Linked DNA regions of Oryzias latipes. The protein of the gene in region 2 purifies or fractionates together with the protein of the main gene of each other region. This does not show direct contact. Links are inferred from orthologs where the notes say so. Each region holds a gene or a part of one and is shown on either strand. Other genes may lie near its edges.

Region 1 (3,650 bases), on a different chromosome or scaffold from region 2:
TTCTGCAGAAGATGAACGTAATCTTTAGTGAAAACTGGACGTCTCATTTACATGAGGGGCTTTTAAAGTGAAAAAATGACAGCTGACAATGTTTTTGGTTAAATAAGGGCATCAAAGCCTGAAGTCTTTTGGAAATCAGAATGCAGTGTTTGGTACCAGATTCGCAGTGGGTGTAAATGAGAAGGACGGCTGCTGTGAAGCCTCTGTGGCTCCTTATCTCCACAGCGCTGCGTGCCTTCATTGTGGTTTGTTTCTGCACAGCCCTGCATGTCATCCAGTTGGTGTCTTGCTGTCATATTTTTATGCCCCGGCTTTGAAACAAGATGACTTTTCTTTTCCATCTCCAAACCTTGTAGAAGTGAAAGCAGCCCTTTCTGTTTCATATTGCTGTCAGGTCACGAACACACATCGGCGCTGCCTGACTTCCTTTCTGTGGTTTCCCTTACAGTTCCTGAGTCCAAGGTGTGGGAGGAGGAGTTTGACCTGAATTCGGTGCGGCTTTGCTTCCAGGCCAAGATCACGCTCCCCACAGGGGAGCTGTACCCTCTGGAGCCGGTCGTGTCACAGCCCATCTACGACAACAGTGAGTGGAAAACCAGTCTGCCCGCTTTGGAGCCGCAGTTTTTCCTGGGAAGACGTTCAGCAAAGCTCAGACATTTTAGCAAACCTCCGTCAGGAAGCAGAGGAAGAGAGGCCGGGTGGGCTCCACTCATGGGAAGCTTGATTGCTTGGGTAAACACTGTAAAGTCTTGCGATCTAATGATACTGTACTGGGTGCGTCATAAACAGCTTGAAACCGTCTGCGTCCACAGACGCTCTTTGTTCCTCTTTGGAGGAAAGATTTTTCTTATTTGCCTGAAATGATTTACAAGAATCATTCCTCAATAATTCTATATTATAGATATTATATAACAGTAAACTTTAACTAAACAGACTAAAATAAACTGGGCATCCCTGCCCTTAGACCCTTTAAAGACGCACTCTGATGAAAATTGGATTTTTGGTGTTTTTTACACGCTCTTGTGGTGTTTTTCTGACAAAAATTTAGCTTAAATTTGCATTTGTGGGTATTTCTGTTTTCCGAATCATTGTGAATCAAGAGCAGATGAAAAATGTAATTTGAAAAAGATCACATCTGCGAGCGTATCTGCATCCACTGTCAGACCAATAGAGGCGTGAACGTCTTCGTTTTTCTCGTCTGAGCTGGAATCTGGCTCCAAACTGTACGGCTGGATAGCTCCAATATTGCTCGCCATTTTTGTTGCACCGCTAATGCTAGGTTAAGCTAGCAGGTGAGAGTGTAAACAGATGGATCACGGGAAGTGAGGTCGTGCTTACTCCACAGCAACGGTTCTGCCCACAACTCAGAGGGGAATCTCTAATTAACTCCTACCGCTCTGCAGAAACTTTGTCCAAAAAACAGATGCTTTATTTTGTCTACAAACGGCAAACTCATAATTAGAGGACCACTGGGAACACTTTGAAAATAAATCAAAAGATGATTTGACCACCTTTGAAGAATTGACATTAATTTGCAAAACTCAAATTCTTCCCAAATGGACAACTTTAGACAATTCTTTATTTGAAAGTATCCGTCTTTCAATACTTTTGCTTCTTGCAGGGGCGCCAAACACAGCCGAGTTAAAGATCTGCAGAATCAACCGGAACTCTGGAACCTGCAAAGGAGGCGATGAAATCTTTCTGCTGTGTGACAAAGTGCAAAAAGGTGAGGCTTCCACCAAACAGACGTTACTGCAGATGCGTGAGGGGGCTCTGCAGCAGACGGGGTCGACAGACCATGTCCGCTGGCTCCTACTACAAAAGAATCTTTCAAAATAAAGTACCAAATGATCACATCAAGGTCTGTTTGTTTTTCCCAGTGACATGAGGGCTCTCATAACTTAGCATCAAACTTTTCTGATGCTGTGTTCCTCCGTGTCTTAACCCTTTGATGCCTGAATTTGTTACCAGCTGTGAAAACATTGGCTTAAGTTTTTGCTTTCGATGCTAAATTAAGGCAAGACTGGAGCAGAAGTGGTTTGATGCATATTTGCATTTTTAGGCGTCGAGGGGTTAAATGTGAAAGCGTGCAGATATAGACTAGTAAAACAGAAACTACATCCTTCTGCATTCTGGGAACACTCAACACAACCTCCTCCACGAACCTCCTCCTTGGTCTTCCTCTCTTTCCTGGTAGCTCCAACCTCAGCATCTTTTCGCCGACATCATCACTGTTCCTCCTCTCAACCTGTCCAAACCCTCTCCATCTGCTTCTCTGCATTGATCTCCACAACCAGGATCTGTTCCTCTGATGGTCATTCCAGATCCACCCGGACCACTCCAAAAGAGAACCTCAGCATCTTCATCTCTGCTGCCTCCAGCTCTGCCTCAGAGCCCCTTAACCAGATATCACCAAATGGCGGACCGCGGTCCACATCCGGACCAACAGACTCTTCTCTCCGGTGTAGATACAATAACTGTTCGGCCTACAACTACCGTTCGGGGTCCTTCCAGTCACACTACGGTGGCCCCACTTGGACAAACTATGTAGCATGGAGATCTGCTCGGGCTCTACATATTTTCATTTCACGTTTCTTTTTGCAACGTAAAGTTATTTTCCTTCATAAGTTCTGTCCTACATTATTGTTTGTAGTGTTTATAGAGAGATTTAGCCACAACCCACTTTGTAAGAAGATCTGTGGCTGTTAGAATGAACCTGCTGCTCCACAGAGTGAACCGTGTCTCTGATCAGAGCAGCCAGAGTCTTGTAGCTTCGTGTTCATAGGCGGGGAAGGTGCTTTGTTAGAGTGTTCGGTCCGGAGAAGGGTTCAGAACGCAGGCCGTTTGGCTACAAATGGACTTAATAATAATCAGAACAATAATAAAAGCACGTTTACAAGATAACCCCGCTCTGTGTCGGAGCTCTGTTTGCTTACTCTGGACTTCATAATGTCTTTTTCTATGGTAGTGTCATAATTTGTCCAGACCAATCACTATCTAAAACGTCATCGGACCAACGGACAGCCAATCACATAATGTGACCTCAGCACTACTCGAAGGACCCCTGACGGTTGTTGTAGGCCGAACGGTTATGGTACCTACACCGGCGGTCCACATCTGGACCCTCCTTGGCTCCATGATCACTTTAGCTGCAGATGACCCTCCCGATCTCCCATAGTATGTGTCACCTCCTCCCTAAAAGCCAAACAGCACTTTTCCTTTCTCAACTTCCACCTCTTGGTCCTCTGCCCTTGTTTTCTTTATCTTCCTCGCACCTCACAGCTTTGCAGGTACTGATGTCGTTCACGTTTCGTCAGCACAGGAATCTGTCGCCTTAAAGCCGTTGGTGCATCAGCACAGTTGGATCTTTGAAAATTCGCCTTTTCACGTGTGAGGAAAGCATTCAGGCGGCTTTTCAGACTGCTGCCCTACGGAAGCTGGTTTACCAGCGAAACTCCAGAGACGGCGGTGTCTTTCTGTGACCAGCTGGGATTTGTCAAAGCACCGCACACTCCTCAATTCTTTGGTGTTCTCCCATGTTCCCGTCTCCCTGCAGAGGACATCGAGGTGCGTTTCTTCCAGGACTCCTGGGAGGGGAAGGGCACCTTCTCCCAGGCGGACGTGCACAGGCAGGTGGCGATCGTCTTCCG
Region 2 (4,183 bases):
TTGACAGAGATCTTAAATTTGACAAACAGGTTAGTGCAGTCTCGTTTTTATCACAATCAGCAAAGCTCTTCCCTCTCATGCTCTGGAGCAAGTGATCCATGCCTTTGTTGTTCCCAGACTGAACTACTGTGACTCTGTACGACAGGGGTGGGCAATTCCAGGCCTCGAGGGCCGGTGTGTCTGCATGATTTCAAGATAGCCTTTCCCTACTCATGGCTGATTACCTGGTTCAGGTGTGTCCAGCCAATAATCTTGCCCTACTCATGACTGATTACCTGGTACAGGTGTGTCCAGCCAATTAGAACATGCCAGAGCAGGGTATGCTGGAAAACATGCAGGAATGCGGCCCTCAGTGCCCACCTCTGCTACGGGGTACTGACCAGTCTCTGCTGGTCTCCAGCTGGTCCAAAATTCCTCTACCCATCTTTTAGCAAGAACCAGCACATCACTCCAATACTGCGCTCTCTTCACTGTGTGACTGTATGGAGAAAATACATTAACATACACTAAGCAAATAAAATGGCATAATGCGAGCTTGTGTCCTTTGTGGGTTTCAAGTATAGTAATGACAGCAGACCTGGAGTATTTGGCAGTCTATCCCTATATGTGGTCTCTAAACACTATGGACCCTCACTGGTTTTTGTGTAAAAATGTTGTGTGCTCAGAAAATAATTTTGTACGTGAAACAGAAAAATACATGTAAACAAAACAATTTTATTTTTGAACCTTGTCGATTGGATTTGGTTGCCTGATTGGAAGACTTTCTGACCAATCAGCATCAACATCCCGTCTACATCTGTGATTGGCCGGCTTTTGTGGCACATTTGTGACACGGTTCCCTGCTTTCTTGGAGCAGAGAAGAGAGAGAGAGAAATTCTCTCGAGTTAAATTTTTAGTTTTAAAATTGAAATTGTTTTGTTAACTCCTATTTTTATGTTTCAAGTGCAAATAATTTTTAGAGCCCACCAAGTTATTAACATGTGGACACCCCTGAGATTTCTTCTTTTTTCCCCAGAATGCATTATTTTTAGGAGTTTTTCCCAAAAGGAAGGAGGGTCTAAGGGCAGAGACGCCCAGTTTAGTTTAGTTTGTTTAGTATTTTGCTATTGAATTCTGTGTATTCATGATCCTTTTGATTTTGTTTGCTTTACAATTACCGGTACGAAGCCCATTCAGACGACTGTTGTTGTGATTTTGGGCTATGGAAATAAAATTGAATTGAATTAACGTTTTACGATTTATCGGTGAGTGTTGCGCTGGGAATAATGACACAAAAACTACTCCATATAAATCTGGTTGATGTAGTACCAGCTCCAGCCGGATGACGGCGCTGTTCATCGTCACGGAGAGAACGGTGCGCGGGCGGACGTGCGCGCCATCCAGCCGTGTCTGCTTACAGCTCCAACATGGCGGCGTCTGTGTTCCCCGGCGTGCGGCTCCTCTCCATCGGAGACGCGAATGGAGACATACAGCGGCATTCGGAGCAGCAGCCGCTGCGGCTGGAGTTGAAGAGCTCGCCGGAAGCGGCCCTCATCAATCTCTCCAATGGTGAGTGTCTGTGGAAGCCGCGAGCCTCGGCCTCGGGAAATCTGCGCAGTGCTAACGCTCGCGCGGCTAACCATGCAGAGTTAGCCGCGCGAGCTATCCCACATAAAGAACGCGCTCAGCCCTCCGCGTGGACTGGGGCAGCCCCCACACTCCGGCGCTGTTCGGGTTGTGTTCGGCTCCGGCCGCGGTCGGCCGGGACTTTTCGCCCCCAGTGAGTGTTTAGAGTCGTGGGTCAACATCCAGCACGGAGCGTGCAGACGCTCGCGGGATCGTGAACGCGGCTCAGACAAAGCCGACGGCCTGTGTGTAACCGGCACGCGCACGTTTGCGGTGGATTAGTTTGGGTTTTTTCCCCCTCTAACGTCCTGCAGTCGTGCCCGCGCTGCCGGTAGGACTCACGGCGGCGTGTTTAGGTAGGTTTTCCCGCTGTGGCTGCGTGGGGGGCAGCGGTCACGCAGAACCGCCACGCGGAGGCAGTCCTGAGGTGAGGAACCGGACTTTCAGTCCAGTTTCCTGGGTTTGGGTGTTCGGAGGAGTTTCGGGGGGCCCCCCCCCCCCCCTTGCGTTCATCTTTGTTCTCATTGGAACAAAAGCGGGTTCCCGCCGCTGCGTCCCCCGGTGGAGTCCCCCCCCCCCCCGTTCCTGTTCCTCATCCTAGATGTGAGCATCGCAGATGTAAACAGAACCTGATCTAGAACCGGGTTTTCATCCGTTTTTGTGCAAAGGCCCACGTTTTCTTTGACTAAAATAGCAACTAAAAGATAAAGAAATAACTCTATCGTCTGTTTTAATCAGGAGCTCACCTGTATTTCTATTTTTACAACGAATCATTTTTCTACATTTAAACTGTAACTAATAAAAATCTTTCATTTATTTTATTATTTTTTAAAGTTTTTTAATTTTAGTAAAATGTGTCTTTTGGCCATTTAACCATATAATGTGTATTTGTTTTTTCAGTAAAGAGCCATGTTTTTTTTTGCATGTTAACAGTGCGACTTGTTTGGATTTTTACATCAACAACCACTAGAGGGCGCTGTAGGCGTGTATTAATATTTGCTACTGACAGCAGCGTAGAAGGAGCGTCCTTCAGTCCATGGAATTCTTCCAAAGCGACACAGAAAATGGCGAATTCTACGTTTTTTGTGATTTGTAGTGACATAACGGGTTCAGTTGATTTGCTAGCGTGTCTTTCTGGTTCTCTGAACAGTTGTTCATATGTTTTGCTAACATATCAGATTCCTCAGTGTTCTTAAAGCTAGACTAGCTTCAGCGTGTTATGGTAGTGACATTTACATTCAGTCTATTTTTGGATTACATATTCCATTAATATTATTTGCCTTTCGAGATGAAATGTCTTTTTTTGTTCCCGTATTTAGTTAAATACATTTCTCCCAAAAGTGCGACTTATATGTGACTCGTACGTGTTTTCTTTTCTTCTTCTTCTTTTGTTATGTACGTTTTTGGCTGCTGAGACTAACCGTCCAAAATAAACACAGCAGTCATATTTTAGTGTTTTTTAAGTGCTTGAAGTCTGACATGGAATTTGTTCTTCAATCCAGACAATAATATAAATCAATGGTCGTAAGATTGCAGGTTCGATTCCCGCCTTGCACCCCCATGAGTCGAAGTGTCCTTGGGCAGGACACTGAACCCGGCCTTGCCTCTGGTGGGAGGTTGGCACCAGTGTTCGGCAGCAGAGCCACCAGCAGTGTGTGAATGTGTGTGACTGTAAAGCTTTGGGCCTTGTAGGTAGAAAAGCGCTATAGTAGTATAGACCATCGACCATTTCACTGCAGTTTGATTTGAATAAAAGTCAATATAACTTAAATTATAATCCAAGTAAAACTGGTCTAAATTGGAGGTCAGCACCGAACATCAAAGGGCTCCATCTGATTGGTCAAATGCATGAATGGATTCATTTGATTAGCTAAATACTTCAAGCTGCCATAAGATTTTTTTAACACATTTAATGTAATAATTTATTGTAGGGAGCCGGTTTAGCTCGTGCTGGTTTGCGGCGCCTTCCTTCCGTGCAACCAGGGTTCGACTCCGGGCTGCTCCCTATTCCCTTCTCCACCTCCGTGCCGGTTCCAAGCCCGGTTTGAGAAGGTTGCGTCAGGAAGGGCATCCGGCGTAAAACATTGCCAAGTTTACCATGCGACTTGTTCGCCGTGGCGACCCCTGATGGGAGAAGCCGAAAGAGGAAGAAGATTGTAATAATTTATTGTGTTTTTCACCATCTTTTGCGATATGCATAATGCACAGCTGGATATCGCAGTAATAATACATTTATGATTTATTATGCAGGTTTACACAAAAGTAACTGACATGGATGAAGTTACTGATTTAAATGTGACATTTTTACTGAAAAAATGTTTACATTTCCAAACCTGTCTTCCTCTGATGGAAACCAACTTTACTTTAAATGGAACCTGTGTCTGACTCAGCCCCCAGCTTTAAGAAAAGCCCTCTGAGTGACTCCAACTGTGTTAGGGCGACTCTAGCGTCTGTTTTCTGTTGGTGGCAGATTTCCTTTAATGTTTGTCTGTTGATCAGCAGTTCGTCTGGGTTTTCTTACTGACTGGACTTTGTTTAAACCAAGACTTCTTGTTCAGTTTCTGCCCCCTGAGTCATC
Region 3 (3,650 bases), on a different chromosome or scaffold from region 2:
AAAAGTCAGAAGAAAAACCTCCAACCTGACCCACTTTAGGCGCCATCATACCCGTCTGATGTTTAAGAATAAACCTTATATAAAATGCCCTGCATAAGACATCAATGTAAGTCTGCTTTAATGCTGCTCACCAGTCTTTTCTGGCTCCTCGGGAGCAGTTCCAGCGATCCCGCTGCTCTCCAGGCCAAAGGTGGGGTCAACCTTTCCTGTACTCCTCGCCGCCTCCTGCACCTTCTTCACATGAGCTTCCACCAACTCTGCTGGAACCTCTTCACGAACGCGAGAAAACTCCTCTGCAAACGCAGCAAGGACATTTCCATATTAAAAAATAATAATAAAAATAAGCATCTTCACAGCTCGTTCAGGGCCGACGTCCACCATTAACAACACTGGCACGGAAAACAATACTTTGAAACAATTTCATCCTAAAACTAAAACAAGTTCAGTATTTATTTTTTAAATATGCTAATTAAATCTAAAAATCTAATTAATTAAAAACCTTGAGGATTTTTTCCCCTCTAATTTTGCAGTGGAACAGATTAAAAAAAATAAAATCTAGATTTGTATTGCTTTAGCGCTTACGTTTAAAAATGCCACAATTATTGCAGTCTCAATGTCTTAAGTAGCACTGATGCAGTAAAGTTAAACAGAACATGACATGAAATTCTAAATGTCCTTGCGTGTTTCCATAGTTTTTTTTTTTTTTTTACCTAAAGCTGCCTTGGCTGCAGCAGAGGCCACTCTGGGATCAACCACAGAGGCCAGGAACGCCACGGTGCTCATCACAGGGTTTCCAGACTGGCTGAAGGGTATGGGCTGATAAGCCAGCGGACCCAGAGACGCCTCTGTGTTCTCCAGGTAGGGATCTTCGATAGGCAGCCGCAGAAAGTGGAGGATACACTCGTCTTGGGTGCGTGAACCGACATGCTCAGATACTTTGTTCCAGTCGTCTTTGAACATCTCCAGGGCCTGTGATGAGTGAAAAATAAAGTCGCAACACAGAAGAAAAATAAAGACAAGTGCAGACAGACACACAATTGTGATCCACTGACAGAAGCCGATATCTAAACAAATAAGACTTGCCTCCAAGAGAAGAAGAGTCTCCTGCTCAGTCCAGTCTCTGGTGGCGATGCCTGCTTTAGACTGCAGAAAACCAAAGTTCAACATTGCCGTTTGTTTAAGGAATATGCATCTCCAATAGTTTCCATGCAGAACTCATGCAAATGTCAAACAGGACCTTTACCTTAGTGTTTTTCTTGCTGTAGAGGTCAGCACGAAGGCCAAAGTTCTGCAGGTCGATGGGTTTATCTTTGCTTTTATCTGCAAAATTAGGCATCGGCTGCTGAGGAGGAATCTGTTGGGAAAATATTACGACAATTATCAAGAGCTCTAAGGTATTAAAGCACTTTTTAAATAAAAATGTACTTTGGTTTTAAGCTGTTAATTTTTCTTTACTGAAAACAAGTGACTTCTTCATGAATGAAAGCTGATATATATATTTAAAACATTTTGTTGGTGATAATGTCAAACTCTGCCGGCATTTGGTGTTGACAATTCATAAGATATATAGCTTCGGTAATTATTTTCTCGCAGACAATGTTAAGAAGAAAATGTCTCAAGTTTTAAACTCGATTATTAATAAGTCGATATCATACATGTACTTCAAAGTAAAAGTGACTTTGCTCCCACCTAAACAGAGCTGTGCTTACCGTTGGCGGTCTGTGGTTAAGCGGCATGAGGCCGGACGGGGTGTCAGCCAGGACAGTGAAGTGAGGTGTGGGTGGGGGGCCCATGGGGAGCGGGCGGCTTTCAGAGTCCACCTGGTAGTTGACTAAACCCCACTGCTCCAGGAAGGCATGAACCCTAAAAACATCACAGGGAAATTCACAGATTCAATTTCTCTGATCATTTTTGTTCGTTTGTTTTTCAGGATTAAAACATGAGCATCAAAGAAGCAGAAAAGCCCTGAATCCTCTTCACCTCATGATGGCGCAGACATCTCCTGTCAGGTTCCTGCGGCAGGAAGTGGAGGTGAGGTACTCCTGGGGGTTCAGCCGATACGTGTCAATCATGAAGTTCCGGTACGCCAAATATCTGTCAACAAGTCGAGAAGAATCACATTATAGTGCGATTTAGAAAGTGTGATGTAGAAAAATGTATCTGACAGTGAGGCTGAGTCTGTAAATATAATCTCACATTTCTGGAGTTTTGGATTTGTTTTTCCCGTTAAAAAACTCAGGCAGGGCTCTTCGTTCAATCTCGTGGATGCTTAAGGAGAAAAAAAAAAGACTGTTTAATGCAACCGACAAACACACTCATCAGAAATGTTTAACACGTTTATTGGTAGCAGCATTTTTAGAGCGTACCTGTTGTAATCAAACCAAGCTCCGTAGCTCGGAATGATGATGTGATGAGTCTGTTCGGTCACATTATCCTCGTTGGCATCTGTCATTCGGTTCACTTCTCCTTTGTTTTGTTCCTCATCATCCTGCAAGAAAAACCTCAATTATAAGAAACTAAAAGACAAAATACGGCTGGCCTCAAAGGTTCTATTAAATCTGTGATCCAACAGAACAAAGTTTGATTTTGTTCAAACTAATTTCCCACGTGTTTCATAAAAGCTACAAACTCTTAAAAAAATCTTATGAAGCAAATGTTTGTATTTCAAGCACAATAAAATGTAATTTAGAATCAGGAATTTTATGTTTGACCATTAAATCAACATTTGTATTGTTCTTTAAAATGTTCTTTGTTTTTTAACTACCGGTAATAACTTTATATTTTAAAAGGAAAATATTTGAAACAAATTATCCTCAAATACTTCTCATTATGTTTTTCCCCCTTAAAGAAGTTAATATCAAAACCTTTTTCAGGACTTTGGGCTGTCAATAGACAATTATTAAAATTATTACATAAAGTTTCTAAATATCCTTAATGATACAGTAAACTTTGGTAGAAAATTAACAAGAGTGTCAAAGCCAAAGTGGATTTTTGTTTTACATTTATCCTTTATGATATAAAATAAACAGAAGTAATTTAAAAATTCAAAACACTTTACTTTAATGCTTAAATTTATAATTTGGCACTAATGTAGTAGTATGTGTCTAATTTTAAAGTAATAGATTTTTGTGCATTGGCCTTACCTTCACTTATAGTCTGTTTGTATAAAATCTTTGAATTTTCTTACCTTTCCACCAGACATTACAGAGTCATCCTCCATGTCATCTAACAAAACCCAGAAAAACAATGATCAGGTGACGCAGTCAACCCAATTAAAGCAGATTTCAGCTTTGGACTGAAATGTGTTTCTACGCATTTCAATTGGTTAAGACAAACATTCCTAAAAAAATAATAGGAAAGTACGTCTTCGTTGCTTTGAAAAACTTTTTTCTATACTAAAGGTTTCACACGTCTACAAACATTTGAGATGGTTTTACATTTGTCACACTGTAAAGGGTCTGTATGGACAAAGCATGCGGCTGCGTTTGATGTGTAGCTAAAATATAATCTTACATCTAAACATTTAGGCTCCAGCTGCATTTGCGGCTGCAGTACATACCATTCTTAGACATACTGCCCTCCTCCATGCTGGCACCGGCTGAGGACTCGTCCAAGTCCTTTGTCATGTCCTCCTCCATGTCCTCCTCTTC

Evidence for each region.
Region 1: the proteins of carm1 (region 2) and putative transcription factor p65 homolog purify together in Homo sapiens (affinity purification with western blotting; 4 studies listed by BioGRID and IntAct, with this or other methods). This does not show direct contact. The link is inferred for Oryzias latipes from reciprocal best matches to the Homo sapiens genes CARM1 and RELA.
Region 3: the proteins of carm1 (region 2) and smarcc1 purify together in Homo sapiens (affinity purification with western blotting; 3 studies listed by BioGRID and IntAct, with this or other methods). This does not show direct contact. The link is inferred for Oryzias latipes from reciprocal best matches to the Homo sapiens genes CARM1 and SMARCC1.

Annotation. Positions count from the first base shown.
Region 1 is NC_019876.2:27,221,572-27,225,221, forward strand, and holds part of putative transcription factor p65 homolog, read left to right. Parts: intron 1-448; coding exon 449-583; intron 584-1,621; coding exon 1,622-1,726; intron 1,727-3,556; coding exon 3,557-3,650. UniProt on the Homo sapiens protein: NF-kappa-B is a pleiotropic transcription factor present in almost all cell types and is the endpoint of a series of signal transduction events that are initiated by a vast array of stimuli related to many biological processes such as inflammation, immunity, differentiation, cell growth, tumorigenesis and apoptosis.
Region 2 is NC_019866.2:25,178,402-25,182,584, reverse strand, and holds the start of carm1 (histone-arginine methyltransferase CARM1), read left to right. Parts: upstream 1-1,344; 5' UTR 1,345-1,406; coding exon 1,407-1,548; intron 1,549-4,183. UniProt on the Homo sapiens protein: Methylates (mono- and asymmetric dimethylation) the guanidino nitrogens of arginyl residues in several proteins involved in DNA packaging, transcription regulation, pre-mRNA splicing, and mRNA stability.
Region 3 is NC_019874.2:27,737,775-27,741,424, forward strand, and holds part of smarcc1 (SWI/SNF complex subunit SMARCC1), read right to left. Parts: coding exon 3,560-3,650; intron 3,226-3,559; coding exon 3,188-3,225; intron 2,489-3,187; coding exon 2,367-2,488; intron 2,269-2,366; coding exon 2,197-2,268; intron 2,095-2,196; coding exon 1,981-2,094; intron 1,864-1,980; coding exon 1,710-1,863; intron 1,355-1,709; coding exon 1,244-1,354; intron 1,144-1,243; coding exon 1,084-1,143; intron 970-1,083; coding exon 711-969; intron 294-710; coding exon 132-293; intron 1-131. UniProt on the Homo sapiens protein: Involved in transcriptional activation and repression of select genes by chromatin remodeling (alteration of DNA-nucleosome topology).